Linked DNA regions of Ovis aries. The protein of the gene in region 2 interacts with the protein of the main gene of each other region in a pairwise test. Links are inferred from orthologs where the notes say so. Each region holds a gene or a part of one and is shown on either strand. Other genes may lie near its edges.

Region 1 (16,413 bases), on a different chromosome or scaffold from region 2:
CCACCAGCTCTGTCCCTCTCCCCTCTGCATCCCAGCTACCAACTGCCTGGATCTGGCTTCTCCACCCATCTGTCCACAGGTCGGTCCCGGTGGGGTGTGTCCCCCAACCTTCACCCTATGCACACAGGTCAGGCTCTCTCTGTTGCCCTCTCCCCCGCTCCCCAGCTCCCCATGGGTCCCACCCTCAGCTGACCTGTCCTGACGGAGCTGGCATGTGGTCTTCAGGATGTCCACCACGCCCTCGTGCCGCAGCTGCTGGCAGCAGATGCTGGTGGCGATGAAGCAGCCAGTCCTCCCAATCCCTGCGCTGAGGGCCCAGGGCACGGGGGTGAGGGGTGGGGCCGCCGGGGAGCCCCGCCACGCCCCAGTGGGTGTCTGGGAGGACCCACCTGCAGTGCACCACGATGGGGGCGCAGCGGGGCCCCTCCTGCTGGGCCGCCTCCTCCACCTCCCGCACCAGGTGCAGGAGTGGGGGCGCGCGGTCTGGGGTCTTCTGGTCGGGCCAGGACGTGAACCAGTAATGCTTCAGGCCTCGCTCTTCTGTCCCGCTCTGTCCAGGAGACAGAGGCCCACCCCAGATACACGTGAACTGAGCCCAGCCACCAGCCCAGAGATAGAGATGGGAAGGGAGAAGGAAGCACAGGAGGGAGGCCACAGGGAGTGGGACCTCGGACCTCTGCCATCTACCCCGTACAGCCCAGAGGCAGCAGCCAGAGACCCGAGGCCAGCTGGGCAGTGGGGACTGGTGAGCAGCGTCAGCACTGGTCTTCACATGGGTTTTGCCCCAGTGACTCCAGGATCTTCCAAGAGAGGTGAAGAGCCCCTTCTCCATTTCACTCCTGTCTCCTGGTTGCCCCTTCACAGATAGCCCAGTCACCCCCACAAGAGCCCTGGGACCCTTCCTGTTGCCTCAATATACTTTCCTGCCCACCAGTACCCCTGGTCCCCCCCAGCCAGTGTTCCAGTGCTATCCTCTCCACCACCACCTTCACTTTGTTCTCTCGACTGTGTGGGGCCCTCCCCTCCTCCTCTCTGATCGCTCAGATCCACAGTGGTCCAGAAGGCCTGTCTACAGCCCATCCTGTTCTACCGCTCAGAACGCTCTGATAGCTCTTGTTGCTCTAAAACTCAAACACACCCTCCCTACTCTTCATTCGGGCAAACAAGACACATGGTACAGCGTCTACCTCTCCAAGCCCAAGTCCTCCTGTGAACCTGTACTTGATGCCTTTGCACTCCAGATGGTTTGTTGATCAAATCTCTGCTTCCCCCATTCCCTGTACATTTATACACAGAGCTGTTCTATCTTCTGTGCCCTTACTTTTAGTTTCCCTTTGTCTGGAATGCTCTCTCTACATGTCTGCCCCCCAGCCAACTCTTATCCTTCGGAACCCCATTCAGCACCACCACTTCCAGGAAGCCCTCCCTGAGCACCCTAGCTGACAACATGTCCTTCTTCTGTGCTTTTACTTATTTGTAGGTCAGTACTTACCATTTTATAGGTGCTCCTTGAGGAGAGAGTCCAGGCTTTGGACAGCTCTGTGTTTTCCCAGTACCCAACCCAGAACCAGGCTCAGGGCAGGTGCTTGTAAAGGTTACGGACAAAAGTAAATGCCCAGTGGTCCCTGACCAGTCCCACAGCACTTAGAAGATGTGGCAGCCCAGCCTCTCTTTCAGGGGAAAAAGGAAGCTGCTCCATGGGCTACCACAGCCTCTATCCTCCACCTCTGAAATGCCCTCGAGCAAACCTACATCCTGGAAATGCTTACTGGGCACTGCCCTCGAGGGGCTGACTTCTCCTTGACACGCCATTTTTCACCTTCTCCAGTGGGAGGGGGCAGCTCAGAGGAACAAGTCTCACGCCCTTGACACCCTATTCAGACCCTGTGGCTGCCAGCATCAGTGGACCTCCCTGTTTCTGGATAGGATGTCAGCTTCCTGGCACCTAGGTCACCTCTTCCAGACTTTGGGATAATTACAGTGGTACCACTTTCCCCAAAAAGGGTTCACAAAGATTTCTCAAAAGCAGAATGCACTGATTTTCCTGACTCCAAAGGAACAATCTCCCCTATTATGCTGAGCCTGGAAGAAGCACAATCTTCAGGGTGGGAGGATACTTCCCCACACTCTTCTGGGCTGTTCGGTACTGCTCATAATTTTTATGTCCTCTTCTCTTTTTCCTATAACCACAACCTCCTTGTGCTACCCAAATGCAGCAAAAAGCGCCTGTCCTCTAGTGGACAGATTCGGTACTACAGGTTGGAAGCCCAGCATCCCAGGTGAAGGGATGTTTCCAGGCAGAATATGGAAGCTGCTGAAGCCCCCTCTTCCAGACAGCCTTGGCCTTGGGTACATTTGAAGCCGAGCTTGAAGACATTATGAACGACAGTGTGGATGGACAGACGCCAGTGATAAGAAATGCACTGAGAATTTGGTTCTGCCTCTGATGTGCAAGATGACTCACCCCTTCTTCCCCTCATCCCTGCTCATCAGTAAAGCCTGGAGTGACACATGCCTTAATTTCAGCTATTTTGGCCTCTGGGACCCTGTTGGCTGTGGAGTGCCCCCTCCTCCCAGCCCAGCCTAGCCCAACCCCAGGCCTCACCCTGAGGGCAATGAGCCGAAGCCGGTAATCCTCAGTGTGGATGACTTTCCGCACGGTGATCTCCACGCCATCGTATACCACCTGCTCCTCCGGCCAATACTCGGTGCACTTCTGCAGGGGCCCAGATCAGACTGAGATACTCCCAGCACCCCGACCACGCCCTCCCCAGTGCCTGTCCCGGGCCAGTGGGGAGACAGACAATGGGGCAGTAGGTTTGCAGTTAGCTCAAATCTCAACTTCTCACTTGTTAAGTTACTTCCCTTTTCTGAGTCTCAGTTTCCTCATCTGGGAAAATGGAAGTAATACTCAGTTTGAAGGACCTTCATGGGACTTCAATTAAATGGGCTGTGATGAGTATGGAAGTAGCCAGCATCAGCCCTGGCAGGCTGGGCGGCAGCGGAGCAGCGTGTTTAAGATCCTGAGCACTGAAGGTGGAGAGGCCAGCTCCAGGCTCTGCCTCTGACTATTTGTGTGGCTCTGAGTAACTGACTTAACCTCTCTGAGCCTCACATTTCCTTCCCTGGGCAAGGCAGCAAGGTGAACATACCAACCTCCCAAGATTGCTGAAAGGATTAACACGGAAATAAGATGCTTGGCACGGGGCACCAAGCAGCAGACACCTGGTGAGGTCCAGAGGGGCCTACCTCGTTCATCTCCTCAATGTTGGTGATCATGACAATGATGGGCGTGTGCTCCTGCCACACCATACGCCAGAAGTCGCCAACCGTGCTGACGATGGGTCCCTGAGTGGCGATGTACACCTTCTCTTCCCCACCATAGCCCTGTGACCAGCCAAGTCCAGGCCATCAGGGTTACTTGTTGGGCTCCCGGGGCCCATTTCCCCCACTCAGCCTCTTCCCCGGGGGCTGGCAGGAACCAGACGGACTTAGGGACAAGCCTAGTGGATGGACCCCATTGACCCGGACCTCCCTTTTAGGGAGAGACTGTTGGGATGGGGTTACATACCCGAATGTAGTTGGCGTTGATGTAGGAACTCAGAGGGTCGTCAGGGTCTGGTGAGGTCAGACACACTCTGCTGTGAGGGTCTGAGGTAGTGGAGACAGGTGAGGCTGGGATTTGAACGTGTAATCCCTCTTGTGTGGGCCCACCTTCTCTGGCCCATGTCAGGGCACCTACATTTCTTCTGGGACCGGAAGTTCCTTCTTCCCTTGCCAGAAGCAAAACACTGACCCATCCCTGTGGCCCACTCAGGAAGGTGAGGACCCAGGCTGAAGAGAACGGTACAGGGAGGCCTTGGCTCTCTCCCTCTGTAGGATCCAGGCCACCCTTGCCTGCATCCCTTAAGCTGCCTGGTCCTCTCTGTGCTTCATGTTCTGGGGAGGAGACAGCTCAGACAGTAAGAAATTCCCTAGGGGATACATCCTAGCCAGCAGGACCAGCAAGAGTTTGAGTATACATTGTCCCCAACCTGCTGTGTAAGCTTGTAAAGCACATGGCCTTTTTAAGCCTGTTTTCTGATCTGTAATATGGGGGTAAAGATGCCTAGTTCCTTGGATTGTTGGGAAGACAATTGAGAAAACAGATGGGAAGGGCTATGTCAATTGTAAAGCATGTTATAGCTAAGATTTGGGTAGGATGCCAGGGGAGAGTATCACAATGAAAGGAGTAAAGTCTTCTGAGCCTGAGATGAGACGACACACACGTCCATAAGGGTTCACCCCCACCCCAATCTAGTCACCTGTCAAATCCCAGAGCACCAGATTCTCACTGCGTCATGCTCTGCCTCCTAGAGCCTCCCTGTATTGATTTAGTCTGTCCTGGAAACTCGCAGAGGCTGGGACTGAGCCAGGAGGTTGGGGGGGGGGGCTGGGGGCCTGGGTTCTGGGCTCTGTCCAGCTTTGTCGCCAGCTTGCATCTCCTCCCTTCTTTGGCCCCCAGGGTCTTTCCCGTGGAAGGAGGGTTGGACTAAAGGCCCTGCCCGTGTGCCCCGTACAGGGCTCTCAAAGACTGCATCAGCAGTCAGGAGTCAACACCGCCCACCAGCGAGCCTGGGTTCAAGTCCTGTTGGTGCCAGTGCAGGCCATTCACTGAGTACCCCTGTGCCTCCTCCATAAACTGGGAACATTCCTTCCGTCACAACCTCACTCATCCTGTCAGGGTTCAAGAGTGGCCGTTCATAATGAGTCCTCAGACCCATAACTTAGGCCAGCACCCAGTCACTATAGAGCAAGTTGGTGTTGCTACTGATATCACTGCAAGTATAAATTAAATCAGTTTCTAAATTAACAGGTCAAAAAGAGGATCCCAAACCTGGAATATGAAATGGAAAGGGATACCCACAAAACTCCCCTCGCCAGCCCTTTCATGCCCTGGTCCAAGTGCCTGAGGTTTGGGCAGGTGATTTGTGGAGGGGAAGGTGGGGGTGAGGCAGCTCTTGTGGCGAGGGGTGTGGAGGAGAGTCAGGTATGGGGAAGGGCGAGGGTGAACGGAAGGGGGCTCTGTGTGACCAGGGGAGAGGAACAGGCAGCCCTGCATGGGCCCCCTCCCTCCCCTCATGGTACCCGGATTGGGATCCAGAAGTAGCCTCTGAATGAATGAGAAAGCAAGCCTCGGGGTGTCCTTGATCCTAGAGGGGCCTCTACCACCCACCCCAGTCCAGTCTCTGAGGGCACAGGGTCAATTCTTGCTGGCTACAGTGAAGATTCTCTGTTGGGCTTGGGGGCTGCAGGCATAGGGCATGGCTGGAGGCTGGATTACTCTCAGGAATCCAGTGGGGACCAGATGGAGCGATGGCCTGGCTCTCATACTCCCCCAGTGGCTATTTTGAGTGGCCAGCAAAGCCCGAGACTGTGGGGTACCCGAAGCCCTCCCTTCAGGTAGGGCTTGGTGGGTGGAGGGGGGAGCAAGAGGAGGGAAGAGGTGAGCAGCCCTGAATCTTGGCCTTAAATGGTGCTTTGTCTAACTGGAATTACCTAGACTCTGTGTAACCATAGCAACCACAAGTCGATATTCTAAAAGTTAAAAATAAGTCATGACATCTTACATGTTGTTGGAGATGCTGATGGCAAAACTGCTTTTTTAAAGCCTCCTTACTCCATAAACTGAGTGAAGTAGGTTTGTGGGGATTTGGTTTCAATAAGTCACCCCCCAAGCTAGTCCTAGGGCCTTGGGCCAGAACTTGGCAGGGGTGACAGGCAGACAGGGGCCTGATGAAAGTTACCTGAAAATGACATCCTGGGCTAAAAGAGGAATATCAGGTTACCTGGTCTAACCACCCCCAAAGGGGGAAAATCCCTATGAAACCTTCCAGGGGGACTACTCATGCATTCTAGCTTGAATACCCTAGCCAATGGGGAGTTTCCTACCTGACAGGCAGCTCGCTCCCTTTTGAGGTGGCTCTGCCTGTTAGAGGATTCATAATCTAGCCAAAGTGAACTCCAGGTAGACAAAAGAGCTCAATTTTGAGGTTACAGAGGCCTAGTTTCAAACTTGGTTCTGTACATCTTAGCTGTGTGACAATGGATGAGCCACTTAACCTCTCTGAGCCTTAATGTCCTCTCTTTAAAACCTGTCCACTCTGAAGAGACCAGGGATGTGACCACAATTTTCAGCCACCATGCCCTGTCTAGGAGCTGCTGTTATTGTTCCCCTTTTTCTCTGGGTTTCCACAGAGCCCAGCACAATGCTTGTCCAGGGCAAAGATCTGGAGAGTGCCGTATGAAGGAACCAAGAGCCCTCTGCCCTCTAAAGGGGGTGTTTCCCTTCACCGGGCACCCCCACCTTCCATCCCTTTGCCTGGCGACCCTGGAGGCCCATGCTGGAGTTAAGGGCATGGGCCTCAGGGTTTAAGGGCACCCAGGTGAGGGGCAGCTGAGTACTCACTGGGAAGGATGGTTTTATATCGGTTCTTCCGCACCAGCCCAGGGATGTCATATTCTTTTGGATCCACAAAATTCATGGGGATTTCCTGTAGGAGGAAGGCACAGGGTTGAGAGCAGCTGTGGGCTGGCTTGATGCATGCATTCATTCAACAAGCATCGACTGTTAAATGAGTGAGGGCACACGAAAAGCGTCCAGAGCAGTCCTGGCACATGCTGAGCGCATAATGAACGTTAGCACACCACTGTTTATGGAGGGCCAGCCTGGCACAGAGTCAGCACTCAGTGAACGCTGGATGAACAGGGAAGAAGTGACCTGGCTAGTCACCACCTTCATCTACACCCTGCGCTGCAGCCACGGCGAGTGGCTTTGCTGACTCACGTTCCTACCCCAGGTAGGTGCCCCGCTCAGGGCCTTGGGTCGTGCTGCTTGCCTGGTAGTAACATCCATTCCATCCTCATCTTCTCATGCCCTGCTGTGCACCGGAAATGACACCTCCTCCAAGAAGCCTTCCCTGATTCTCCAGCAGGGAGGCAACCTCATTCTGGGCCTTCCCAGAGTTGTATTTGCACCTCTCAATCACTCTGCATGTCAAGAGCGCCAAGTCTGAACTTTTCTGCCTGGAATGTGAGGTCTTCTTGGAGCTGGCCTTTCTTTACCACCAGCTGCTCTCAAAACCCCCACCCTCCAGTTGTGCCCATCTCTTCTCTGTAGTTAATCTCTCAGTCTCCGGCTAGCCTCCACGTCTGAGTTTGCGGCACTTCACTTGCGGGGAGCACTGGTCGCATCCCTCTTCATCACCCTAATCCTTCTCAGCCTTTAAGGTTCTCTGCTGCCCCTCCCACCAGGTCTTGTGGGATGACTCCTCAGTGACTGTCCTCTTGCGCCCCTTCCCTCTGTCTACACACTTTAGCACCCTTGCCATCTCTCACCGTCATGAATCACAGTGTTCACTGTGGACACACTAAGAATGCACTTTGTACAAAGAGGATCATGAGACTCACTTTCTAGGTGGTTGTGAGAATCAGAAGAATAAAAAGCAGGCGCAGAAGTGCCCATGGGGTGGGTATGTGAGCATCCCCACTTCCTCTCTCTCTGGGCAAAACTGACAATGAACTATGAAACCGGAGATGACAAGGACATGCCACACACCCTTAAGCGGAGGTGTGGCCACGGGGACACATCCAGGCTGGGTAGCCCAGGAAGGCATCTTAAGGGCCTCCAGGGTGAGGGCTGATGACTGTGAAGGTGCGGGGAGGGGGTGGGCTGAGGGCCAAGTTTGAAGTGGGCAGTCCTGCGGGGATGGGGCCCTGAGTCTGGACAAGGTGGCTGGGGCTGGCTCAACTCAGGTAAGGCAGGCTGGACCACATACTGGAGACTTTGGAGCCGCAGGTCAGAGGTGATGGAGGGCTGCTCAGAGAGGAGAGCCATCCAGTTCTGCTAGGGAGCAGGTGGCCTGGGACAAGGGGAGCTGCGAGGGAGGCACGCAGGTTCCCCATCCCTCAGGCTTCTCCCAGGAGGGACTCTCTCCAAATGCTCCTGGCTCTTGCCCATTCCTGCCCACACGGTGGGTGAGTTACCGGATGGTGTCTGATTGAGAAACTCAGCTTTGGGGCGCTAGCCCCTTACTTCCTCCTCCTCCTCCTCCGACCCTCCTGCTAAGAAAGAATTACAGGGCACCCCCATGGGGTGAGGCTGGCAATGTACCAGCACCGCCTGGGGTGGCAGGAAAGTTGCTTCATTCTGGCGGTTGGTATTAGGAGGCTCACTACTGCTACATACGTAATCCTCATGTTAACCCTAGCATTGGGACTTCGTTGCTGGTCCAGTGATAAAGAATCTGCCTTCCAATGCAGGGAACATGGGTTTGATCGCAGCTCAGGGAATTAACATCCTACATGCCTCCGGGCAACTAAGCCTGCGTGGCACAACTAGAGAAAGAAGCCTGTGGTCTGCAGCAAAGACTCAGAGCAGTCAAAATGGAAAAACAAAAAACAAACAAGAACAGAAGCTTACCTAGCCTTTATCAGCAAAAATAAAGGTGGTTTTGGGATCTTCTCTATCTTAGCTTTTAACTGGTTGAGTGCTCGGGCAGGTAAAACAGGGGGGTCATTTATAAGCCCCTCAAAGTCCAACAGGAGGGGGCTGCTGTTAGAGCCTGGAGGGGGAGGTAATCAGGACCACCCTAAGCTGGAGCCACAGAACTGGAGAGATTTCAAAGGAGGATGAACATTGTTTGGTGATGCCAGGTAAAAGGAGAGTGGGAAAATGGGAGAGTCAGAAGAGAAGGCTTTCGGGATTTGTCTGGCGGGCCAGTGGTTGGGATTCAGCACTTTCACTGCTGGGCCCCAGGTATAATCCCTGGTGCCACATAGTGTCACACCCCACATCTCCAAATAGAGAAGAGAAAGCTGTCTAAGACTTCCGGAGGACAATCCTAGGTGATGATGACTTAAGAATGCCACAAACACCAATCACCTGATGGGCACTTTGCACATTTTCTGCATCTTTCAAATCCTTGCAACACCCCTGTTATCTTTATCCCCATTTTCCAGATGAGAAACTGAGGCCCAGAGAGGAAGCAGCTAGCCCAAGACAGTAGGAGAGGTGAGAATGAAATGATGTTCATCAGATGCTGAGTTTGGGGTACCCTGTTCCAAAGCCTTGCTTGGGGGACCAACATGAGCATAAAGGGCTGCCCTCTGTGGGGGCACTGGTTCAGGGGGACTCACAAAGAATTCTGCCTGCAGCAGGAAGGGGTCCAGGGCCTTCTCGTGAAGCTCTTCGGCCTGGAGCACGCGGGAGGCGCTGAGCAGGTACTCTCGGGCTGACTCCTCACGGGGGGACATGAGATAGCCGAAGCCTTCCTCGTTGCAGCCTGGTGTGCACATGTCCAGGGTCAGGGAGACATTGGAGCCCCTCCTGGAAGGACCGGGAAGGGGGGCAGTGAGTATCAGGGGCAGGAAGGGCCATTAGCTGGGGGCCTTGGAGCAGGAGGATGAGGGAGCGGCAGATGGGGTGGGAACCTGATGGGTCCCAGGGAGAGGAGTGGGCATGACGTAACCCCAACACAGACAGAATGAGGCTCAGCTCTAAGGCTTAAGCCTGCCACCCGCTCCTGCCCCATGCAGCAGAGTAGCTAACTGCGTGTGGGCTTGGGCCCCAGTCCCAAAGATTCCATGTGAGGCCCCTCAGTACAGTCCTTCCCTGCACTCTCCTGTGCCCCTGCCAGAGACAGCTCCCAGAGCCAGGGGAAGCTCACCGAGAGGGCACATGCCTGGGGCAGAGAAGCAGGGCTCCACCCTCAGTACCCCAGCCCCCAGGGCCGCAGCCTCCAAGGACATCTCATCCAGGAAAGGCTCGGGAAAGACGGGATCCCAGGGGTAGCACAGCTGAGCAAGGATGAGTGGACTGAGCAGACTCTGCTGTGTTCAGAGTCTAGTGACCCATTACCCTCATTACCTAGAAAGGGAAACTGAAAGCCACAGAGGGGATAAGAATTGCCCAAGCACGTACAGTAAGGGGGTAGTAGAGCTGAAACAAAAACCTAGGTTTTCTGACTCCTCCTCCAGTGCTCTTTCCATGACATCATGTGGACAACACAACCCTGGTGGGATCTAGCTAACCCAGCCAGGCTCTGCAGAGGGTGTTGACACCTCCCAACATGTGCTGTGTGGAACCCTACGAGACACTATGAAAGCAGGGTTCTGTGGTCGGATAACTTTGAGGAAGGCTACACACAACCCCTTGTCAATCTACAATGACTACAAGCATGTTAAAGGCTCCCAACAAGTCCTACAGTAAAGAAACCTATCCGAGCCATAAGAGTTGTATGTGTGAGTGTGCACGTGTGCACACCTGTGCATGCCTACATGTCTGTGTGCAGTAACGTTTCTTCGTGTTCACTTTGGGGCATTCAGATCTACATGAATCAGACCTGAAGAGCACATGTCTGCATTGGTGGGGCTATGAGCTCAGCTCTGCCCTGGGCACTGAGTCAGAATCAGGCGTCTGCCCTTCCGACAGGGAGCTAAGAGCTCCATGCACCTCTGCTGCACCCACCTCTCCTGCAGACCCATGGCTTTGACGGTCAGGGAGGTGGGGTCAGCCTCCAGCTTGATGTCCATCACGCAGTCAAACACAGGGGTCTCAGGGACGGGGTCCAGATCCAGGAAGTCATCCTCGACTTTCTCCTCCATCCACTCCGAGTAGGTGAAGGAAGGCTGACGGCTTACCGATTGGCGCCTGTCCTCGGGGGGCAGCGGGCTGGATGGCTCTGGGGGAGTCCTCAGGAGGAGCCACACCTAGTTGGGGACATAACTGGCATCATGGACCATGCTGGCAGCAGTCCCCGGATGATGGCATGCCCAGGGTCTTGAGCTCCCTGCCCCTCCACGTGTCTGGAGCAGGCTTGTTCTCCTGGGAACTGTCTGCAGAGTACCACCACTCACCTAGATGGGAGGCTACCTAGATGTCCTCCCGGCCCCCTCCTTCCCCAACCCTCAGGTTGTTATGCTTTGAAGCTTTGTTAGTGGGGTGGGGTGTTCCTACTCCGGTTTTCACACTGTCTCAGCTCCTTTCCCCAGCCAAGAACACTGCAAACCAATTTTGAGAAAGAAGGGGCCTCTCTCCACCCCAGCCTGGGCACATTGGTGGAAGAAGACAGGTGCCCCTCCTCAGCTCTACCCACAACATCTAGTCCGTAGGTCAAAGGAGACAAGGTGGGGACTGGGTCTTGGAGTCACGGGAGGGGAGCAGCGAGGTCGGGTCAGGAGGAGCCTTACCAGGGTGGTGACGAGGATCACACAGAGAGAGACCAGCAGCAGACTGGAGATGTCCCAGGTCCCAGTGCCCAGCCAGGCCTGGGGAACATCAGACAAACAGCTCAGGGTGATGCGGGTGGGGGGTGGGGGCGCGTTCTCATCTATTTCAGCACGGGTAAGATTGAGGCTCTGAGAACTTTGTACCTGGTTCTGGGGAGGGGACAGGAAGAAGCCTTTCAGGGTTATCATATGAACTCAAAGAAGCCCCAGGCAGGGGCTGGTGGGGCTGGAGGCCCCCAAGCGCTCCCTCCTACCCTGGGGCTCCCTGGAGCTTACTCACCGCGGGTCCCAGCCGCTCCAGGAACGTGAGCGCAGAGGAGACGACGTCTGTGGTGTTCTGTGTCCAGATGGGGCCAAAGCCGCTGAGCCAGAGCATCCCACAGGCGAGCTGGGGTGGCCGGGGCCAGTGCACTGAGTTCGGAGTCTGGCCTCCTTGCCCCCATATCTCCCCGTTCCCCTACCCTCAAGAGTTTACCTGGAGCCTCAACCTACCGCCTACCCCGCCCGCACCCCCACCAAGGTCCGACTGTGCCACAAAGGCCAAGGGCATAGGACTTTGCCTGGAGAAAATGTGACTTAAGGGAGCCTTCGCAGAGGGGGTCCCACCACCCCACCAGGTATACACATCACAGGGAGTCTCCTAGAGGTGCCTGCAGAGACAGGAAGTCCTCAGAAAGACGCCCGCAGGACCATGGGGGGCTGGGGGCTGGGCCTGCATCCCTGCTTCTGAGCTCAGCGCATGAGGGGCTCAGCCCTCAAGGCTGTGGCTTGGAACTCCAGCCTTCTCTCACGCCAGCCGGATGGCCGCAGGCACGAGGGACGCCGGGAAGGCCCCTCACTCCTCTGTGTCCCCAGGCGGCCATCTTGGGGAGGAAGCGGAGGCCGTCCTTCAGCCCGCCCTCCTTCCAGGCCCGGCGAGGCCTGTGATGTCCTTACCAGGAACTGGGAGGCAGCCAACAGGCACAGGCTGCTTCTGGCGGTGAGGGAGTGGCTCCCGGCGCCTCGAGGTGGCGGCTTCTGAGCTGGCTCCGAGGGCGGTGAAGCAGGTGGGGGCGGTGGCATCTCTCTCTGTGAGGCCGCGGGCGCCTCGGCCTGGTCCAGCGCCTCCATCCCTACCGGCTGGCGGACACCTGCGGAAGGTGACAACGTGGCCGGTGACCCAGGCCCTGCCGACCCCGCGGGCTGCTCCTGCTGGGGTTGCCGTGGCTTCCTCTCAATCCAAGATCAGTCAGCCTGGCTCCACTTCCAGCAGTCACCCTCGACTAGCAAAGCAATATTCACCTACCTTCGTCAGAAAGAGCTAAGTGTGGGTGGACAAATTATTTCTCTTTTATTTCTCCAGTAACAGAGTTAAAATGGCAGGAGGTTTTTCACGGAGTTAACATTGTGGTGTTTACGCAGCTTCATTCTGTTCCCATTTCTTAAGGAAACAAAAAACAACCACCTCAAACTCAATTAAAAGAGAGAGAGACGGAAAAAAAGGCACAGCGTAACCAGGCCGTGACCCTGAACAGCTCACCCACGCCTGCCCTCCCGGTTTTTGTCTCTCATTCTCTGTATCCTGACTTGACAAGGTCAGAGCCACATGCCCCTGCCCCACCTTGAGACACCACACTAGGGGAGTGGGGGTGGTCAGGTGGCAGTGGAGCAAAACCTTGGGGTAGCAGAGCTGATGTCAAATGTCTGGGATCCAGTTCTGGGTCTGTCCCTGGTTGTGTGACCTTGGCAGAGTCACCCCCTCCTCTCTGGACCTGTTTCCACACCTCAAAAGCGGGGGCTAAGCTCCTCCCTTGGCTTTCTGTGTTTCAGGGAGCTCTGGCATTTTTCTTGGTGACCCAGCTATGACCAGGTGCTCTGAGTCCCCATACCCAAGCCTCAGCCATGGAAGCTGTTTGGTCGCACTCCGTATAGTGGGTATCCTCTAAGATCATCTCAGCACAAGGTGCCACCACTAAACAAGTCTGAACGGCACCGGGCTAGAGCTGAGGCCCCAGTGGAGTGGGGGATTCCAGCAGCACCACCTTACTGAACTCCCCATCCAAACTGACGCCGTCTAGTCTATTGCCAAGAAGAGAGGGACCATGGGACTTCCCTGGCAGTGGTCCAGTGGTTAAGACTGTTTCCAATGCAGGGGGTGTGGGTTCAATCCCTGGTCAGGGAACTAAGATCCCACGTGCCATGTGGTGGTGTGGCAGAAAAAAAAAGAGAGAGAGAGAGAGAGAGGGACCAGCAAAACAGATGTGTATAGCTTGACAGTGAGGGGTTGGGACAGTTCACATATTATGTACGTGGGACAATAGACTCCTTTTCTGGATGGGGGACTTGGAATCGTCATAGCCAAGACACGATGTCTGCATGCTCGATTGCTTACATGACAAATACTTACTGAGCCTCTCCCACTGCCTGGATCAACAGTGTGGAGCAGAGCGCTGGGTCCTGGAGATGCCTGAACTTCTGTGCCAGTTATTTCCCTCTCTTCCCAGGGAAAGAGCCCACCCGCTGTGTTCTGAGTATCCTGTCCTCTCTGCCAGGATCATCCCTCCAACATCCTGCTCCCCTCACCTGCCTCCAAAACACTTTGCCAAGTTAACTCCTACTCATCCTGTAGAACTCCATCATTTGTCTCCTAAAGCAGGTCCTCCCCATCATACACACCTGGCAACCCACGTCTCTCCTTCAGACGGCCAGCAAAATAATATACTTGGAACATAGCCCTGCTCTGAGGGCTTTGTGCGTGTTAATATATTCACTCTTCATGGTACCCTATGAAGTTGGCACTCCTGTGATCCTCATTTTACAGAAGAGGAGGATGAGGTGCAGAGAGGCTAATAAGTGGTGGGTTTGAACTAGGCCACCTGGACAGGGATTTGATTTAGGTCATACCTGAATGGTCTAGTGGGTTTCCATACTTTCTTCAATTTAAGTCAGAATTTGGCAATAAGGAGTTCATGATCTGAGCCACAGTCAGCTCCTGGTCTTGTTTTTGCTGACTGTATAATGTTTCTCCATCTTTGGCTGCAAAGAATATAATCAATCTGATTACGGTACTGACCATCTGGTGATGTCCATGTGTAGAATTTTGTGTTGTTGGAAGAGGATGTTTGCTATAACCAGTGCATTCTCTTGGCAAAACTCTGTTGGCCTTTGCCCTGTTTTATTTTGTACTTCAAGGGCAAATATGTCTGTTACTCCAGGTAGCTCTTAAATTCCTACTTTTGCATTCTAGTCCCCTATGATGAAAATGGCATCCTTTTTGGGTGTTAGTTCTAGAAGGTCTTGTAGGTCTTCACAGAAATGTTCAAACTTTGGCTTCTTTGGTGTTACTGGTTGGGGTATAGACTAGGATTACTGTGATATTGAATAGTTTGCCTTGGAAATGAACAGAGATTATCCTGTCATATTTTTAAATCCTGTCATTTTTGAGACTGCACCCAAGTACTGCATTTCAGACTCTTTTGTTGACTATGAGGGCTACTCCATTTCTTCTAAGGGACTCTTGGCCACAGTAGTAGATATAATGGTCATCTGAATTAAATTCGCCCGTTCCAGTCCATTTTAGTTCACTGATTCCTAAAATGTTAATGTTCACTCTTGCCATCTCCTGTTTGACCACTTCTAATTTACCTTGATTCATGGACCAAACATTCCAGGTTCCTATGCAATACTGTTTTTTATAGCATTACATTTTACTTCCATCACCAGTCATATCCACAACTGGGTGATGTTTTTGCTCTGGTTCTGTCTCTTCATTCTTTCTGGAGTTATTTCTCTACTCTTCTCCAGTAGCATATTGGAGAAGAGCATACCAACCTGGGGAGTTCATCTTCATATATTTTTGCCTTTCCATACTGTTCATGAGGTTCTCAAGGCAAGAATCCTGAAGTGGTTCACCATGCCCTTCTCCAGTGCAATAATACATAATGGTTTTTATGTGTTCAAATTTATAATGTTAGTATAGTACCTAGCATAGAACTAAAACAAATAATAGGTTTCTAATATCTATTGATTGATTGTAGTTAAGAAGAATTAGCTACAGTACGTGAACTGTGAACTTCCAGATGTTCAATCTGGATTTAGAAAAGGCAAGGAACCAGAGATTAAATTGTCAACATCTGTTGGACGGTCAAAAAAGCAAGAGAATTCCAGAAAAACATCTACTTCTGCTTTATTGATTACACCAAAGTCTTTGACTGTGTAGATCACAACAAACTGTGGAAAATTCTCCAAGAGATGGGAATACCAGACGACCTTACCTGTCAACTGAGAAATCTGTATGCAGGTCAAGAAGCAACAGTTAGAACCAGGGAACAACAGACTGGTTCCAAATTGGGAAAGGAGTAATGTCAAAGCTGTATATTGTCACCCTGCTTATTTAACTTATATGCAGAGTACATCATGTGAAATGCCAGGCTGGATGAAGCACAAGCTGGAATCAAGATTGCAGGAAGAAATAAAAATAACCTCATATATGCAGATGATACCATCCTTATGAAAGAAATCAAAGCAATAAAGAGCCTCTTGATGAAAGTGAAAGAGGAGAGTGAAAAAGCTGGCTTAAAACTCAACAGTCAAAAAACTAAGATCATGGCAACTAGTCCCATCACTTCATGGCAAATAGATGGGGAAAACAATGGAAACAGTGAGATAATTTATTTTGGGGGGCTCCAAAATCACTGCAGATGGTGACAGCAGCCATGAAATTAAAAGATGCTTGCTCTTTGGAAGAAAAACTATGACCAATCTAGACAGCATATTAAAAAACAAAGATGCCCGTCTAGTCAAGGCTATGGTTTTCCAGTGGTCATGTATGGATGTGAGAGCTGGACCATAAAAAAAGCTGAGTGCTGAAGAATTGATGCTTTTGAACTATGGTGTTGGAGAAGACTCTTGAGAGTCTCTTGGACTGCAAGGAGATCCAACCAGTCCATCCTAAAGAAAATCAGCCCTGAATATTCATTGGAAGGACTGATGCTGAAGCTGAGACTCCAATACTTTGACCATCTGATGCAAAGAATTGACTCACTGGAAAAGACCCTGATATTGGGAAAGATTGAAGGTGGAAGGAGAAGGGGACGACAGAGGATGAGATGGTTGGATGGCATCACCAACTCGGTGGACATGAATTTGAGAAAGCTCCGGGAGTTG
Region 2 (16,413 bases):
GAAGGCAGGTTAGGTCAAGGTGGTCTGGTATTCCCATCTCTTGAGTTTTCCACAGTTTATTGTGATCCACACAGCCAAAGGCTTTGGCATAGTCAATAAAGCAGAAATAGATGTTTTTCTGGAACTCTCTTGCTTTTTTGATGATCCAGTGGATGTTGGCAATTTGATCTCTGGTTCCTCTGCCTTTTCTAAATCCACCTTGAACATCTGGACTGTTGAAAACTGGCTTGGAGAATTTTGCTACTTTGCCAGCCTGTGAGATGAGTGCAATTGTGCAGTAGTTGGAGCATTCTTTGGTATTGCCTTTCTTTGGGATTGGAATGAAAACTGACCTTTTCCAATCCTGTGGCCACTGCTGAGTTTTCCAAATTTGCTGGCATATTGAGTGCAGCACTTTAACAGATCATCTTTTAGGATCTGAAATAGCTCAACTGGAATTCTGTCACCTCCACTAGCTTTGTTTATAGTGATGCTTCCTAATAAGACCCACTTGACTTTGCATTCCTGGATGTCTGGCTCTAGCTGAGTGATCACACCATCATGGTTATCTGGGTCATTAAGATCTTTTTTGTATAATTCTTCTGTGTATTCTTGCCACCTCTTCTTAATATTTTTTGCTTCTGTTAGGTCCATACCATTTCTGTCCTTTATCGAGCCCATCTTTGCATGAAATGTTCCCTTGGTTATCTCTAATTTTCTTGACGCAATCTCTGGTCTTTCCCATTCCACTGTTTTCCTCTATTTCTTTGCACTGATCACTGAGGAAGGCTTTCTTATCTCTCCTTGCTATTCTTTGGAACTCTGCATTCAATTGGGTATATCTTTCCTTTTCTCTTTTGCCTTGAGCTTCTCTTCTTTCCTCAGCTATTTATAAGGCCTCAGACAACCATTTTGCCTTTTTGTATTTTTTCTTGAGGATGCTCTTGATAACTGCCTCCTGTACAATGTAACGAACCTCTGTGCATAGTTCTTCAGGCACTCTATCAGATCTAATCGCTTGAATCTATCTGTCACTTTTGTATAGTCAAGAGATTTGACTTCAGTCATATCTGAATGGTCTAGTGATTTTCCCTACTTTGTTCAAGTCTAAATTTGGCAATAAGATTGAGTTGATGTTCTGAGGCACAGTCAGCTCCTGGTCTTGTTTTTGCTGACTGTATAGAGCTTCTCCATTAGGCTGCAAAGAATATAATCAATCTGATTTTGGTATTGACCATCTGGTGCTGTCCATGTGTAGTCTTCTCTTGTGTTGCTGGAAGAGGGTGTTTGCTATGACAAGTGCATTCTCTTGGCAAAACTGCTAGCCTTTGCCCTGCTTCATTTTGTACTCCCAGGCCAAATTTGCGTTACTCCAGGTATCTCTCTTGACTTCCAACTTTTGCATTCCAGTCCCTTATAATGAAAAGGACATCTTTTTTGGGTGCTAGTTCTAGAAGGTCTTGTAGGTCTTTGTAGAACTGTTCAACTTCAGCTTCTTCAGCATTAATGGTTGGGGTACAGACTTGGATTACTATATTGAATGGTTTGCCTTGGAAGTGAACAGAGATCATTCTGTCATTCTAGACTGCACCCAAGTACTGCATTTTGGACTCTTGTTGACTACGATGGCTACTCCATTTCTTCTAAGGGATTTTCGCCCACAGTAGTAAAATTCACCAATTCTAGTCCATTTTATTTCATTGATTCCCCAGGTCCCATCTCCTGTTTGACCACTTCCAATTTACCTTGATTTATGGACCCAACATTCCAGGTTCCTGTGCAATATTGTTCTTTACAGCATCAAACTTTCTGTCACCAGCCACATCCACAACTGGGCATTGTTTTGCTGTGGCTCTGTCTCTTCATTCTTTCTGGTGTTATTTCTCTACTCTTTTCCAGTAGCATATTGGGCACCTACTGACCTGGGAAGTTCATCTTTCAGTGTCCTATCTTTTTGCCTTTTCATACTGTTCATGGGGTTCTCAAGGCCAGAATACTTCAGTGGTTTGCCATTGCCTTCTCCAGTGGACCATGTTCTGTCAGACCTCTTCCCCATGACCCATCCATCTTGGCCCTACAGGGCATGGCTCATAGTTTCACTGAGTTAGATAAGGCTGTGGTACATGTGATCAGTTTGATTAGTTTCCTGTGATTGTATTAAGAGAAGGTATTTTATTCTTCAGAAGACTATACTGTTCTGCAGCTGCCCTTCTGAATCATTTCCACTTCTATCAGATCTTTCCCAGATTGTGTGTTTGCTGGTTTACACATACACTGGGGGTGAGAAAAGAAAGCATACCGCACACAGTGATTACCTTGGAGAGACTGAGAATCTCTGATGAGTCCTTCTCTTCACAGGTACCACAGCTCCCAGGATTTTCCTGGATCAAACCTTGTATCTCTTCCCCAAGTATTGTATATATTGGACTAAGAGACGTGGACCCTCCTGAACAGTAAGTTAATATGTTAGGGTTGAGTTTTGGTCCTGTCCTGGCCACTAATGTTCCATTTGATAGGTTATTTCTGGACTTAACCTGTTGTAGGTCACTATAAAGACAAACCCCACTCCCACATCTGATTGAAAAACTCCTCTTTAGCTAAGGCTTTTTTCCTTTATATCTCACCAGTTTTATTTTAAAGAATTATGATATCCAGTATTTTTCCATGAGAGACATAGATCGACTTGGTATCCAGAAGGTCATGGAACAGACATTCGATCTGCTGATTGGCAAGTAAGTAACTACAATGGATGTCTACTTCTAGGTCCCAAAGAGAACAGGGCAGTAAACTTTGGCCTGTCTCTTAAGATAATGACCTTATAAAAGCAAAACGTACATATAAAAAAATTCAGATCAGAAAGGGAGACTGAAACTTCAGTCATATTCTTCTGGGGCTGGGAGGGAAAACTGCTCGGTGAATTTCTCTTTAGCTCCAATTTTAATGCTTATCTTTCGAGAGGAGAAGCATTCATCATTCCAACTTTTCTCTTCTTCCCAGGCTCAACTATTGCATCATCTGAAAATTTTATATTAAGCAAATCTTGGTGGTATAGAAAGATGACAGGTGAATGCTAATCAAATGCTAGTTAAGAACATTTTCCCAGTGCTGAGTCTTCATTTCTGGGTGATTAATTGCCACCTCGGTAATATACTGTTTCTTAAAGTGTTAAGAAGTATAAATAATTTACTACATAGGTGTTTACTATGTTACCTTCAACCATTTGGATGCCTGGGCTAAACTGAAGTTGGAATTGGGAGATGGTAAGATCGCAGTCATAAATTCAGAGCTGCGGTTCTACTGAGAGAGTAACTAACTGTAACCTAGACCAATCCAACTTCAACTAGAATTTGTCAGAACCCATGTCCTATGGAAGTGAGGAATTCCCTCTATTGACAGTTCTTAATGTAAGAGGCTCTAAAGCCCAGGGTAAATCAGAAATACAAACTGGAGTTAGTCTGAGGCACACAGAACTGAGGGCAAGACTATGAAGTGGTGTGTAAGCACCTAACACAATAACTTTCAGAACAAATCTGGAAATCTGCTGTGTTAATAAAGTACTAGCATGAACAGCAGCAAAACCAAGGAGTTGTAGCTGTAGGAAGGACAAATAACCAAGTACAGCCCAAATGACTTTCTCTTGTTTTCCTCCTTTCAAGAAGACAAAGGCCAATCCATCTGAGTTTCGATATTGATGCATTTGATCCTACACTGGCTCCAGCCACAGGAACCCCTGTTGTAGGGGGACTGACCTATCGAGAAGGCATGTATATTACTGAGGAAATACACAGTACAGGTAAGCAGTGATCAACCTGTTAATTACCTAAATAGATCTGCTGAAGCCTCTTGCCTGCCAGGGGATCTTTTCTAGTATTACATGTCACTGGAGACATTGTTTCTCTTTAAACTTCTATAGCTAAAAGCCATGTGGCCAGGCTAATTTAGAGGCATGTTTGGACCTGGCTGATAACAAAATACATTAGGGTAACACTGAGTAAAAAAAAAAATATTACCCACTTAAACACTTAATAAACACAAGAATAAACTGCCAAACTGATGTAGTTCTTTGCATCTGAATTGTATAAAGGCAGATGAAGACTAAAAGGCAAGCCGAAATAGCTCTAATTTTAACCCTGACACTATGAGACTGGTTCACTGGGAGTTAAGAACATCAAGCTGAAGCTTCCCTTGAAGATATTTCAAAGCTGGACAATACCTTGTGCCCTTTCATAGAAGTCTTATACTAGAGCTTGTTTGCTAGGACCTGTAATATGGGGATACTGGAAGATGAATGGCTGACAGGAAGAGGAGTAAACTGCAAGCTAGGGGATCAAGAGTAGCTACAAGAGGGGAATTCCCTGGTGGACCAATGGTTAGGACTTACTTGGTGCTTTCACTGCAGTGGCTGGGTTCGATTCCTGATTGGGGAACTAAGATCCCACAAGCTTCGTGGTGCAAAAAATTAGTAAAAATTTTTAGAAAAGAGTAGCTACAAGAGGTTACTGTCCCCAAACTCATACTCATTTGCAAACACTTTCCATTTCTGTCAGAAAACTCTTGGTTTTAAGGCTACTTTAAATGACCTCTCATTATAAAATTTAAACAATTACTGAATGGTACTTCATCAACTAGATAAAGCAGTTTGCTTAAATTAATCTACAAGGTGGCAGTAGTCTAGAAATATGGGTAGTATATGTTTTTAACAGTTTGTACCCTCCTGATTTACTTCTGGGCTATGCAAAAGGTCCACATTTAGTAGGTGGAAACGATACAGATGCGTGTGCAGGGACTGGTGGACACACCTGCTCACTGTAGTTCTGCACGGTGCACTGAACTCCACATTGCTCCTAAGGGACGGCACACTGTGCGGATGTGCTAGCATTGAATGTACATGTACTAAAATATAATATCCATAAGTCAATAGGTATATCCATCCATGTATCCAGGCTTTATGGCCACCCTAAATACTCAGATACTTGTATACTCCAATCTAGTTTCTTCTAGTGACTCTTAAAGGAGGTAGATTAACTTCATCCAGAATAACCAACTAAAGATAAACACCCCAGAAGTAGGGCATATATATGTTGATGGGGAGGGGCAGAGGGCAGGCCTAGATAGGTTCTTTTATGCTCTAATCTTCCCGCCTCAAACCCTTTGGCACAAGTACCCAGACCCTTACAGAAGGTAACTGGAGTTCAAACTAAATATGACCAAGTGCAAGATACTGCATCAGTCTGAAGGGAGACCTAAGAACTGTGTCATACATGGAGTCTGTCCTCAGAGTTCAAACTTGCAGGGGTGAGAGTAAGATATGCAGTAACAGCTATACTTTAGGACACATGGTGCCTTAAAAGTTACACAGCGCCAGAGTTCAGAAGTGGGAATAGAGTGCTGGCTAGTGAGACGTGAGAGATTTCATCACACAGCTACAGGCAGGCATCTGGCAGGTCCCTAGAAATACTGGAAATGATACATTTTCCCAACTAGACTGGAAACTCCTACTGCCACCCCTGCTTACCCCTCACCCCGGCCTTGCTCATCCTAACCAGAAAGCCTGTCAAGTCATGCCTGTTATGTTATTAAACAGGGATAATTGACTTAATTACTTTAAAGGTTTCTTTCAATCCTACTCCGGCATTACCAGTGTTTCTAACTTAAATTCATGCCCAAGAGGATGAGGTGTAAGGGCCTTCCTGACAGTGGGTAATTTTCTAGTAGAAAATGACCCTTTCACCTTGGTGTGTTCTACCCAGGTGGGACGACCCTCACTGAAAGAAGCAGCTAGGAAGTTTTCTTTTTGTCCTGCTTTGTGTTTTCAGGGTTGCTCTCGGCCCTGGATCTCGTTGAAGTCAATCCTCGGTTGGCTGTGTCAGAAGAGGAGGCCAAGGCTACAGCCAGCCTGGCAGTGGATGTCATTGCTTCGAGTTTCGGGCAGACGAGGGAGGGAGGGCATGTTGTCTACGACCAACTTCCTACTCCCAGCTCACCAGATGAATCAGAGAGTGAAGAACGTGTAAGAATTTAGGGAATACTGTTTGTTGACACATGTCACAGTGGGCATTCCAGAGCCGTGAGGCGTTTGCGGTGACAGAAACTGAATGATCATCTGGGTCAATACTGCCTTAATGAGAACATTTGTGCATTCTTACAATTGTAAAGTTTCCTTCCCTTTCATTTTGGTGACCGATAATAGTACTGTACATGTATTTGTTTTTTGACGCTCACAGGGTATTAATATGTTGGAGCACTGTGTAAACTTAAAGAAGTCATAAAGGACATTTATTACCTTGGTATATCATACTGGTCTTATTACTGTTCCTTCACATTTCAGTGGTCTTCCGTCTTCCTCCCTCCACCCACAGTCTGGCTACACAGTGCCTTCTTGAACCGCTAGTTCACAGCAGCAATAAGATTTTTTTCCACACCTCTAACGCCATTCATTCACTGAGTGACAGTTCTGGTCCACAAACCCTTCCCTACAGGAGGTTTAATGCCTGCGAAAGAATTTGTAATAAACCAGGCCTCCCAGAATGGCTAGCTCCAGTAAGATGACGATGGAAAGTAGCAGCTTGTTGGTTGTCACTCTACAAAGAGAAGCAAAGTGGGATGTAGTCAGAACTCTGGGTAACCTTATTTCTTTCCATTCTTAATACTGAGGAGTTTGACCTAGGGCCAAGGCAGGATACTGTGAGGCAGACTGAATTTTTGTTTGATCATGTAGCCACTTAGTAACCTGTAAATAATTACTACTATCTACCTCACAAAAATATTGAAAAATGGGGCAATAAGGTACCAAAACATACAAATGTTTTTTTTCTAAAATGTCTTCAAATAGTAATTAGTACTTCACTTTAAAAGTACTTTTTCTATGATGGGCTAATTAGAAAAATATTAAATGTACATGTGAAAAAGTATACCATATTTTAAATCAGCTGAATCAGATTTCAAAGTAGAAGTTCACTACCTAACACATCTACAGCTGTGAGGACACATTAGGAGAAGGGGTGGCGGGAGACTCCAGGGTCCAAGTCCAGCTTGGGTACAAGGAGGTGGTCCTGCTTTAGGATGAGTAACTAGAAGCTGGGAATGCCTTTCAATGTCTTCTCAAACTTCTTGCCTTTCTTTCTCTATAAAGGTAGAAATTTTTCTGACACTCCTATATTCTTTAACACAAAGAATCGAAATCGGACATTTCTTCCTGCTCCACAAGGAACTTACCACTGTTTTGGAAAATCTCATTCTCTTGCTAGTTCCATAACTTGGTTATAGTCTCATTCATACTACCTACACCGACTCACGCCCCAAATTCAGCCTCAGTGCCAATACTTCCCTTCTGCCCATGGCTCTGCTGCTGTCAGCACTTACCTAGACGGTTTTTTCTCAAGTCAGCTCCTTGCTAACAAGACAGAACTCCCAAATAAGGGCTGACTCCCATAAAGGGCAAGCAGAGCCAAAATCAAGTACGAAGCCATAGCAGTGAAAAGTTTTCTAATTAAGTTTTTACAAATTTATTTCCAGGAATGCTCTGTTCCCATGTGCTCTCTTCTTTAAGGAATGTAAACTAGGATAAAAAGTCCTTCCAGTAGACCAGTTTTCCATGGCTCCAAATCATACCAGCATATATACTTCCAAAAATGGATTTTTTTCCTGGGATACTTAACTATGTGATACTCTTTATTTCTTCTGTTTTATCAGTACCTTTGCAAGTCACAGTTTAAAGCTTTGACATTCTCAGCCGAAAGATTAGAATTAAGAGAAATTAATTCTGTGACTAATTTTTAAAACTTACTTTCTGGACATTGAGCGGAGAATCTTCCGACTTTTGCTCAAGTTTTCACTTGTATTTACCAGCTGAGAAGAGAAAATAGCAATTATTTCCCTCTTCTTACAGAAGTACACACTGTAGAACTGAACCTGAGTAAATTGACGGGTGTTAAAGGGTTTATGTTGAAAAACTCCCAGAAATCAAATCAATTTAAATGATGGCCTCTGTAAATAGAAGAAACTGGAAAGGACAAGATACTCTAATACTTATCAATAAGGCCTAGGAATGATTGTATCCCAAGGCTGCTGTGAGGAGACCTCTGGGACTGAGCTAATCCTTCACTGTGGCTACACAAAACAAAGTCTTCAAGTGTACCTTGCCAGTAACCGAAGTAACTCTGAGCAACTTAAGATGTGAATTTCATCAGCCAAACTCCAGGAGAGCCTCCTGAGTTAATGTTTGTTTTTATAGGCTGGTGGATTACCACTTTTGAGATCTGGTTCTTTTTCCTTTTTTCTTTACCCTTTTAAGAGATACTTACATTGAATTATGAAAGGAATTAATCTTTTTTTTAAAAGCCTTTTTTTCCCCCTTTTTGTTGCCTGTTACTAACCTATATAGCTGGAGGATATTTCAACAGATGCCACCTGCCATCTGTTCCTGTTCACCAGTGGCCTTGGTTAAGTTGATCTCTCAGCTCATTCCTCAGCTTTTAAATTCAACTAATCCATCTAGTAAGTTCAAAAGTAAAAACAAATAAACCATGCAATCTGCAAACAAGCTGCTTTCTCTGCAGCTTACTTGAATTCAGTACTTTACTGTGAATTTTCACTGAGGAGGGTGATACCTGACTTGATTTTAAGAGTGGAGAATTATGGCCACTAACGTGGGAAAATAACAGCTCAGTGTGGGGATTTGAGACGACCTTCTCATGTCTAAGTCTTGCCCACAGTATCTGTGTTTCGTTTATCTGCCTCATGCTCTTAACACAGCATTCCATTGGCAGTTTTTAAAATTCCTTTGCAGATGGTACAGAAAGGAAGAAATAAGTTGTTTTTCAGAGCCTCTTAGAGTGATAGTAGATAGAGGCCACAATATAGTCATCATTTGGCCTAAGGATTTTGTTTTCTCACAGTGATCTCCCCTAGTGTGTAGCAGTAGTGGTGTTAGTTGCTCAGTCATATCTGACTCTGTGACCCCATGGACTGTAGCCCGCCACGTCCTCTGTCCATGGGACTTCCTAGGCAAGAATACTGGAGTGGGTTGCTGTTTCCTACTCCAGGGGATCTTCCCGACCCAGGGATCGAACCTCTGTCTCCTGTGTCTCCTACACTGCAGGCGCATTCTTTACCACTGAGCCATCAGGGAAGCCCATGATCTCCCTTACCTTAGGTTAAGAAGAGTCCAGGATTAAACCTCTTTAAATTGTCGGTAGTACTATTTTATGACATGTGGAAAATAGCTTTGGCTCTAAATGACAGGAAAGCTAGAATCTTTTAAAGCAAATGTTGGCTTTCATAAGAATAGCAGGTGTTCTACTAGACGTGTGAGAGACAGAAATTTAGTTCATAATACAGGACCTAATAAAAGGATGGTATGGCTACAATGCTATTTGACAATCTTCAATAAATGCAGAAACTGGGTTTTATGCAATCTCACTCCCCCTGCCCAATGACCTCTAAATCTTACAAGTAAAATTACTTCCAAGGGATATGTTTTAGTCAAGCAAATTACGAACAGAGAAAGCATAAGAACCTAAAAAATCATACCCTGAATTTGGAACTGTGGTAGCTTCTGACAGCATCAGGGTGTAATGGGCCCACCTACTTTCCCCATTTTTGCCCCTCTCCCTATCCACCCAGACTTACTCTATTCTTGGTACGTTCCAATTGGTCACGTTGCTCCCCCAGCTCTTCTATGATTTCTGAGCCAATCTGGTCAGTCTCTGCGGCAATACGATGAGAACGCTCAATACTCTGGGTGGCCCGGTTCAGGCTGTCAGTGCCTTGCAGAAGCAATGCCCTTTGAGACTGTAGCCGATTCTGACAGGAGTATGGAAGGGAATTGTTAGACTTCTTCCATTATAAATGAATTTATAAGAAGGGATATAATGTGTAGTAATTTTCATTACTTGTAAGACAATCAAAGATGCTAATGAATCAGACTACAAGAGAACCTGGGGTTCAATCTAGGATCACAATACCTCCCAGTCCACTGCTTGTTACATGTAAGTGAGGCAAGGAAAGGATTCAATACACCAGAGCATCTTCCTTGTGCTCCTGATGAATCTGAACTGACTCATGTGCTTCCTGGACTAACAACTTCTGAGAGGCAATGGCCCAGATCTGGGATGCAGGAGCTACCTGAAAATGCATACATCCTATCATTTTGATAGGGTAAACCAACTAAACTCTACCGCCTTAGAGATAGTGTAATTCACTGAAAGTTCCCACTGATTGGTACTGAGTGACCACAGAATAAGCTATTCGTGTTTAGCACACACAGAAATCACTTAAAAGTGTGAAAGACTACTCCTCTCTGGAAAAAAGTAGCTACACTCTTGGTAAGCATCCAAAGAATTTCGCCTCAGGCCAAACACAGAAGACAAATACTGAAGTTGTTACACTGGTGATTTACTCTCAGGGGAGGTAGTATCTGGGGCCAAGTAAGCGCCCTATTTCTGAAACTCCACCAAAGTATTATTCCACCTATTCCTAAGCACAGGAGGCATGAGGACCGAAGCAGCCTTTGTCAGGCCAGAAATAACTACTGACAGAAATGGAGGCAGCTCTAAGTCCTCAGCTCTTCAGAGCACACGTGCGTACAAACTCTGGAAAAGGGGTCAGCTCACAAGGCCTGTTACTGAGCAGGTGACCATTAGCACTCGATACCACCAGTAAGAAGCTGAAAAGATGTGTTTCCAGATCAGAAGCAACAAGAAGGCTTTTTCACTTCATATACAGCATACAGACGAGTGAGTGAGGAAACCACTGAATAAGGCTGAAATGAACCCCAGTTTACACTGGCTTAAAAGCAGCAGGAAAACAGCATTTTTAAACATAAAAGATGAGGATTTTCAACTGAGTGGGCTTAAGAAAGAGCAGGGAGAGACAGTAAGGTCACATGAATCAACCCCAGATTTGGAACAGTAATTCTACTGAAAGTACTTTATATACCTATATTGTTTTTATAATTTCTGAAACTAATAATTTTAAAGCAAAATTATTGCTTGGAATTATCTTCCCCCCTTTTGTTTTTGGGGCTTTTTGGGTCACAGATGACCAAAGTCACTGTACACCTTTCATCTCACTTTTAACAAGCGCTACTTGCCTGCATTTTCCCACTCTCCTTTGAAAATTTTACATCATTCTCAAGTACTCTAGTTTTCACATCAGGAATGTCAGGCCACTATCATTTGAATATCTCTTAAGCCATATTTAGGAGGGTGCTTCATGAAACAGGATTTGTTTAATCAGCCTTTCTACATCCATACAGTCTGCACTAGTGGGCCCCCTTCCACTTCTCTCCCACATTACCAGCCAGGCCATTTCTACTTCGTGCTGTGGAATATAGTCCCAAATGTAACACATGAAATTTAACCTTTGTGAAGCTTTTCTCCTTTACCTACCTAGCTTCTTTAGACAGTTTGAGAATATACATTTTCAATTTAGTAGTCTAATTTTATAAATGAGAACACTGGAGGCTAGAGAGGCAGCCTGGCTCACTTTCTATTATGATGAAGTAAGGCGTCAGCCCCCTTTTTGGGAAGCATCCTGCTTTCTCTACTGTATCTGGGCTATTGGGCCATCTTGATACAAATAACAATGCTCTGATAAGTTAAAATCTTAACTGAACTCTGGGGGGATATGTGAGAAAGAAACTGGATTGGTGAATCAGACTAGAGTCCAGGTATAATATGAATAGGTAACACTTGTTTATCACCACTACCCATCAAGCACTGTTTTATACATAAAGGATACAAAAAAATCTAAACAGGTAAATTGCTTGGAATGATCTGCATTAAATTCAGTAGAAGCAGGCACCCAAGGGGAGAAGGGAAATTGGATGCAAGAAAGAAGAGGGAAAAAACCAGGCGTACTTGTGGAGTATTTGAACTGTACTCCACAATTTGGTTAATCATTGTGCCACAGACCCACAGGACAAAGATGGCTAAAACTCACCATATGCTCGTTCTCCACAGCGTATGTGCCATATTTCATGTCTCCTCGGGCCCCAGGAGTGGCTGTCAAAGGCGTACTTCTCACTTCCCGATGGAGTTTGGCAAGGTCCTTCCGGTAGGTTCGCAGCTTAGACATCATAGGGTTACGAAAAGATAGGGGTGCATAACGCAGTTCCTCTTCCATCTCTGCCAGCTAGGAAGGCAGAAAGCAGTGAGTAGACGGCCTGCTTCTATTCTCTCTCATATGGGTAATATGTCTAGTTTGGACTAATCAAACCACAAGCAATCCTAAATAAATACTCAACATGTGGCCCAGGAAGGGAAGGACCACACGTGACACCTTTACTTCATTACTGAGTGCTTGGTGCAGTGCCCAGCAGGCACAGAACAGGTCTTCAAAAGGTATGTGATGAATGAGTGAGAAAACTAACAAGTAGCTTATAGCTACTTATAGCTTATTAAACATTTTGACATGTATTCTCTCACAACAGATCAAAACGGTAGGAAATACTTTTACTTCATATATGAGACTTGAAGAAACCTGTTCAAGATTACATAAATCAGGATTCCAGATCTTCATACTCTTTTCAGTATACCAAGTTCTTAGCCTGTTATGGTCCAAGTGCTATCACGAAGCACTTAGGGACCTACTGTACTAAAAATGATTAGGGGTATGGCATCAAGGTTCTTCCCTTCCTCCACCTGAAAATCAACTGTCTGTGTCCATGTGAGAATAACCAGGGGTCCAGATCATTTCCATTTTTCTGGGACAAGTAAATTGTAACACATAGAATCATTTGTAAGAGCCCATGAGTCATTTTCTTCTGCTTTGGATGGCTAGAGTAGGACTGGTTAACTTTAGAAAATGCTACCAAGATGTTAACTGAAAAAGAGGCCTAGCTCTGTAACAGATATCACAGATATATGCCCAGTAATGCAGAGGTATTAGAAAAGTTTCTGGTACTCCCATTATGAAGGTGATAGTTTCCATAGTCTGGTAGGCTGATCCTCCTTCAAATACATGCAGAGCGGAAAAAAAAGGATGCAGATGGGCTTAACTTCTCAAAACTTCATTGGAATAAAGGAGGTATTCTTCAACAAACAATAAAGTTCTCTGGCTTAAAAAGAATTCTTCAGTCTACTCTGGGGTAGCAGATACTAGAGGCAACTATTTCTTTGGAGTGCTACCAGAGATCGAGATTTTAGCTCCAGCTTCCTAAAAGGGTTTGCTAAAGCTAGACACAATGCGATGAAGACAGAGGATCCTTACTTCTAAAAGGTAAGAGCAAAAATTGCTTTCTTTCTTTTTTTCTTAAAGAAAAGTCACAGGTTAAATGAAGCAGTTCTTAAACTGCTTAGCAACCTGGACCAACTTCTGATAAGCTTAGGATCCTGACTGAGAACTCATCCTGACCATGCATACCTTGCCCAAGGTACCAAAACCTATTTTTCAAAACAAGGCAATGTGAGTAGGAACCACCTCTGAGCTCCATTTTCTGTGACAGTAAATTTAACAAAGGAGAGTAAGTTATCTTAATGGCCAGCTTTTAAAAAGTGCTTTCAAAAGGCCACCTAGGTAAAAGGAGAATGTCCTTATTGTATCAGCAATGTTTTATCAAGGACTCACAGAGGAATCTTCAAGTTTTACTCAAATACCCATCCCCATCAACTGGCCTCATTTAGTAAGAAATAATCAAAACTAAGGTCAATAGACAGGAACAGTTAAATCTGTGATCATAATGTCATAAGCATTACTTCTGGCAAAGACCAACAGACAGGAAGAGGAAATAGGACTTGTTCCTGTTCTCACCGTTTCATTTGCTTCCTGTTGCTTTTCATCGAAATCTCTGATCAACTTCTTCTTCTCTTCTGGAAAAGACAGATGAGTTTTAAATACTCAATCCTGCTTCCAAACATTTATTTGTAGAGAACATACCCTCTGCTTAGAATATATTCCCCATTTCCTTTCTGGGGGTACCCTACAGAACTTAATCACCCCTGAAAGACATTTAGAAAAGTAAGAGAACTAGTTACCAGAATTAATGGGGGGGGGGGGTAGATGGATGGTATTATCACTGGCATTTAAGTGGCCAGGGAACAAGAATACCTAAACTAGGGACAGTCCTGTGTAACAATGATCTGGCCCCAAAGACCAACAGCATTCCTACTAAGAAAGAAAACAGGTCTAATTATCGTCAATCTTTTTTCACCAACCTAACAAAGGGACCAGGCACGCTTTGATCAATAAGAATGTTTAACAATACCAGTTCTCTGAAGTCTTCATCCCCATGGTAAATCACATCTCTACATTAACACTTATCCACTGCTTTTCTGCAAAATATATTCAAAGCCCACCTACTTTGCTCTCTGGAGAGCCTGCAAGGCACACAGCACAAGTTTCTTAGCCATACCCACCGGCAGTAGTATAGGAAATGATCTAAAATACCACTGACTCACACAGGGGAAAATGTCATTCCTTGTTCAATCCTTTGCATCCTGTCATTTTAGTTCTAGTATGTCTTTAATACCTAAAAACTACTAATCTCCTCTTTAAAAAAACAGAACAGGCTTTAGCCTCAAAGCAAGGACATCTAACTAAACCAGCACTGTTTTGTCTTCATTGTAGCTTTTCTGATCATATAGCTAGGTTCTATAGATTTTTCATCTAAGGCAGTGATATAAAGTGTCCTTTTAAAGTAACTTTATATGTTAAATAAATGCATTTTACATGAAATACTGATATAAAGGAAATAATTACAGTAAAAATGGTGCTTAGACACACCACAATGATGAAGTGAGTACCTGGTAAACTTTGTATGGGGGGAAGTGCTGGGGAGTAAATGAGCTTAGGTTTTGGTCTTAGCTTTGGGCCTAACTCAACATGTAAGCCGGATAATTCTCTTCATCTTTTTGGGACCTAACCTCCCTCCTCGGCTAGGAAATGAGGAGGCAAATCACACCTAAGAAGGAAAACTTAGCCCTATTTATGAGGAGTTTGTTTTTTTTCAAATGTATACAGCAAAATGAATGTTCTCCCCGGAAATCTACACATACTCTACTTATTACCACAAACTGTCACTGTTTATAATATTTTTTGAACTCATCTTTTGGGATTACATTCACAATCTGGGATACTTTTTTTTAAATTGTGGTAAAATAATATAAAACTTACCATTTTGACCATTTTAAGTGTACAGTTAAGTGGCATGAAGTACATACACAATATTGGGCAACCATCACTGCTATCCATCTATAGAACCTTTGCATCATCCCAAACTCTACACCCAGTAAACACTAACTCCCTATATGCCCTCCCTTCAGACTCTGGTAACCATGATTCTACTTTCTGTGTCTATGAATCTGACTACTCCAAGCACCCCCATATAAGAGGAATCATACAGTATTTGTCTTTTGTGTTTGACTTATCTTGCTTAGCATAAAACCTCCAAAGTTCCTCCATACTGTAGCATGTATGAGGACAATCTATGTGTTTTTCACTCAGTGTGATTTCTAAATACAAGCCAGCACTGCCATCAACTGAAGAAAGAGCAATCTTTACCAATGCCAAGAAAACAGTAGAGTATAAGACCTATGAAGGGATGGCATGTGGGTACTCAACATGCTATCCTAAGATTTTCTTGGATAATTTTGTTTACCCTGATTTTCATCTCACACCTTGACTTTCAAACCCAATCCCATGTTGGAAGTAACACCACTGTCATGCTTTATATAGATTTTACATTGTGTTAATCACATAGCATCTACCATGTCAGCTGTCCACTACTTTTTAACGTAAATCACTTGGCTGTATATATTCTATATTCTCAACTTGAGCTCAGTCTCCCTCTGAGTAGAGGAATTTACTTTTTCTTTTGTACATCCCATAGGTTCTAGAACTCTAAACCTGGTAGGGTGCTTCTTAGACACTGTTATTGCCTGCAAGAGTCAAGCGACAATCCACCCTTTACTAAGCGGCATTCATTGTCATGCGCATTCCCTTAATAGGTATTCCAGGTGAACTATTTTTCACCACACACTGCTCACAACGCACCACCCACCCCCTCAAAAGGAGAAAGTTCAGACAAAGCAAAAGGCCTACCTCTTGACCAGCCATGAGGTAACCACCATGAAATTACCACCACAAGTGAAAGTGTTAGTTGTTCTTTGCAACCCCATAGACTGTAGCCCATCAGGCTTTCCTGTTCATGGAATTCTCCAGGCAAGAACACTGGAGTGGGTAGCCATTCCCTTCTCCAGGCATCTTCCCTGACCCAGGGATTGAACCTGGGTCTCTCACACTGCAGGCAGATTCTCCCTGTCTGAGCCAGCAGAAGTGCCAAAGCAGCCTTATTATCCTTGAGTGGGCTATGTTTCCACCCATCAGCAGTGAAATAATATCTGCAATCAAGAATGGCTACTTCCATGGAGAGCTATCATATTTTACAATCAGCATTCACGAAAGTGTTGAGTGCCACCACTCCTCTGAAGAGAC

Evidence for each region.
Region 1: the proteins of VTI1B (region 2) and PTPN5 interact in binary tests that used the Homo sapiens proteins (3 or more experiments, as listed by UniProt). The two-hybrid records come from large-scale screens. The link is inferred for Ovis aries from reciprocal best matches to the Homo sapiens genes VTI1B and PTPN5.

The regions. Positions count from the first base shown.
Region 1 is NC_056074.1:23,561,171-23,577,583, reverse strand, and holds part of PTPN5 (tyrosine-protein phosphatase non-receptor type 5), read right to left. Parts: intron 12,399-16,413; coding exon 12,205-12,398; intron 11,657-12,204; coding exon 11,549-11,656; intron 11,308-11,548; coding exon 11,230-11,307; intron 10,750-11,229; coding exon 10,508-10,749; intron 9,368-10,507; coding exon 9,178-9,367; intron 6,534-9,177; coding exon 6,449-6,533; intron 3,652-6,448; coding exon 3,572-3,651; intron 3,388-3,571; coding exon 3,250-3,387; intron 2,717-3,249; coding exon 2,606-2,716; intron 551-2,605; coding exon 390-550; intron 308-389; coding exon 194-307; intron 1-193. UniProt on the Homo sapiens protein: May regulate the activity of several effector molecules involved in synaptic plasticity and neuronal cell survival, including MAPKs, Src family kinases and NMDA receptors.
Region 2 is NC_056060.1:77,595,738-77,612,150, forward strand, and holds the end of VTI1B (vesicle transport through interaction with t-SNAREs homolog 1B), read right to left. Parts: intron 13,791-16,413; coding exon 13,732-13,790; intron 12,115-13,731; coding exon 11,923-12,114; intron 9,784-11,922; coding exon 9,610-9,783; intron 7,828-9,609; coding exon 7,766-7,827; intron 6,561-7,765; coding exon 6,464-6,560; 3' UTR 6,229-6,463; downstream 1-6,228. Other genes in the region: ARG2 (arginase-2, mitochondrial), read left to right, coding at 2,338-2,432, 2,607-2,711, 3,636-3,772, 5,796-6,001. UniProt on the Homo sapiens protein: V-SNARE that mediates vesicle transport pathways through interactions with t-SNAREs on the target membrane. These interactions are proposed to mediate aspects of the specificity of vesicle trafficking and to promote fusion of the lipid bilayers.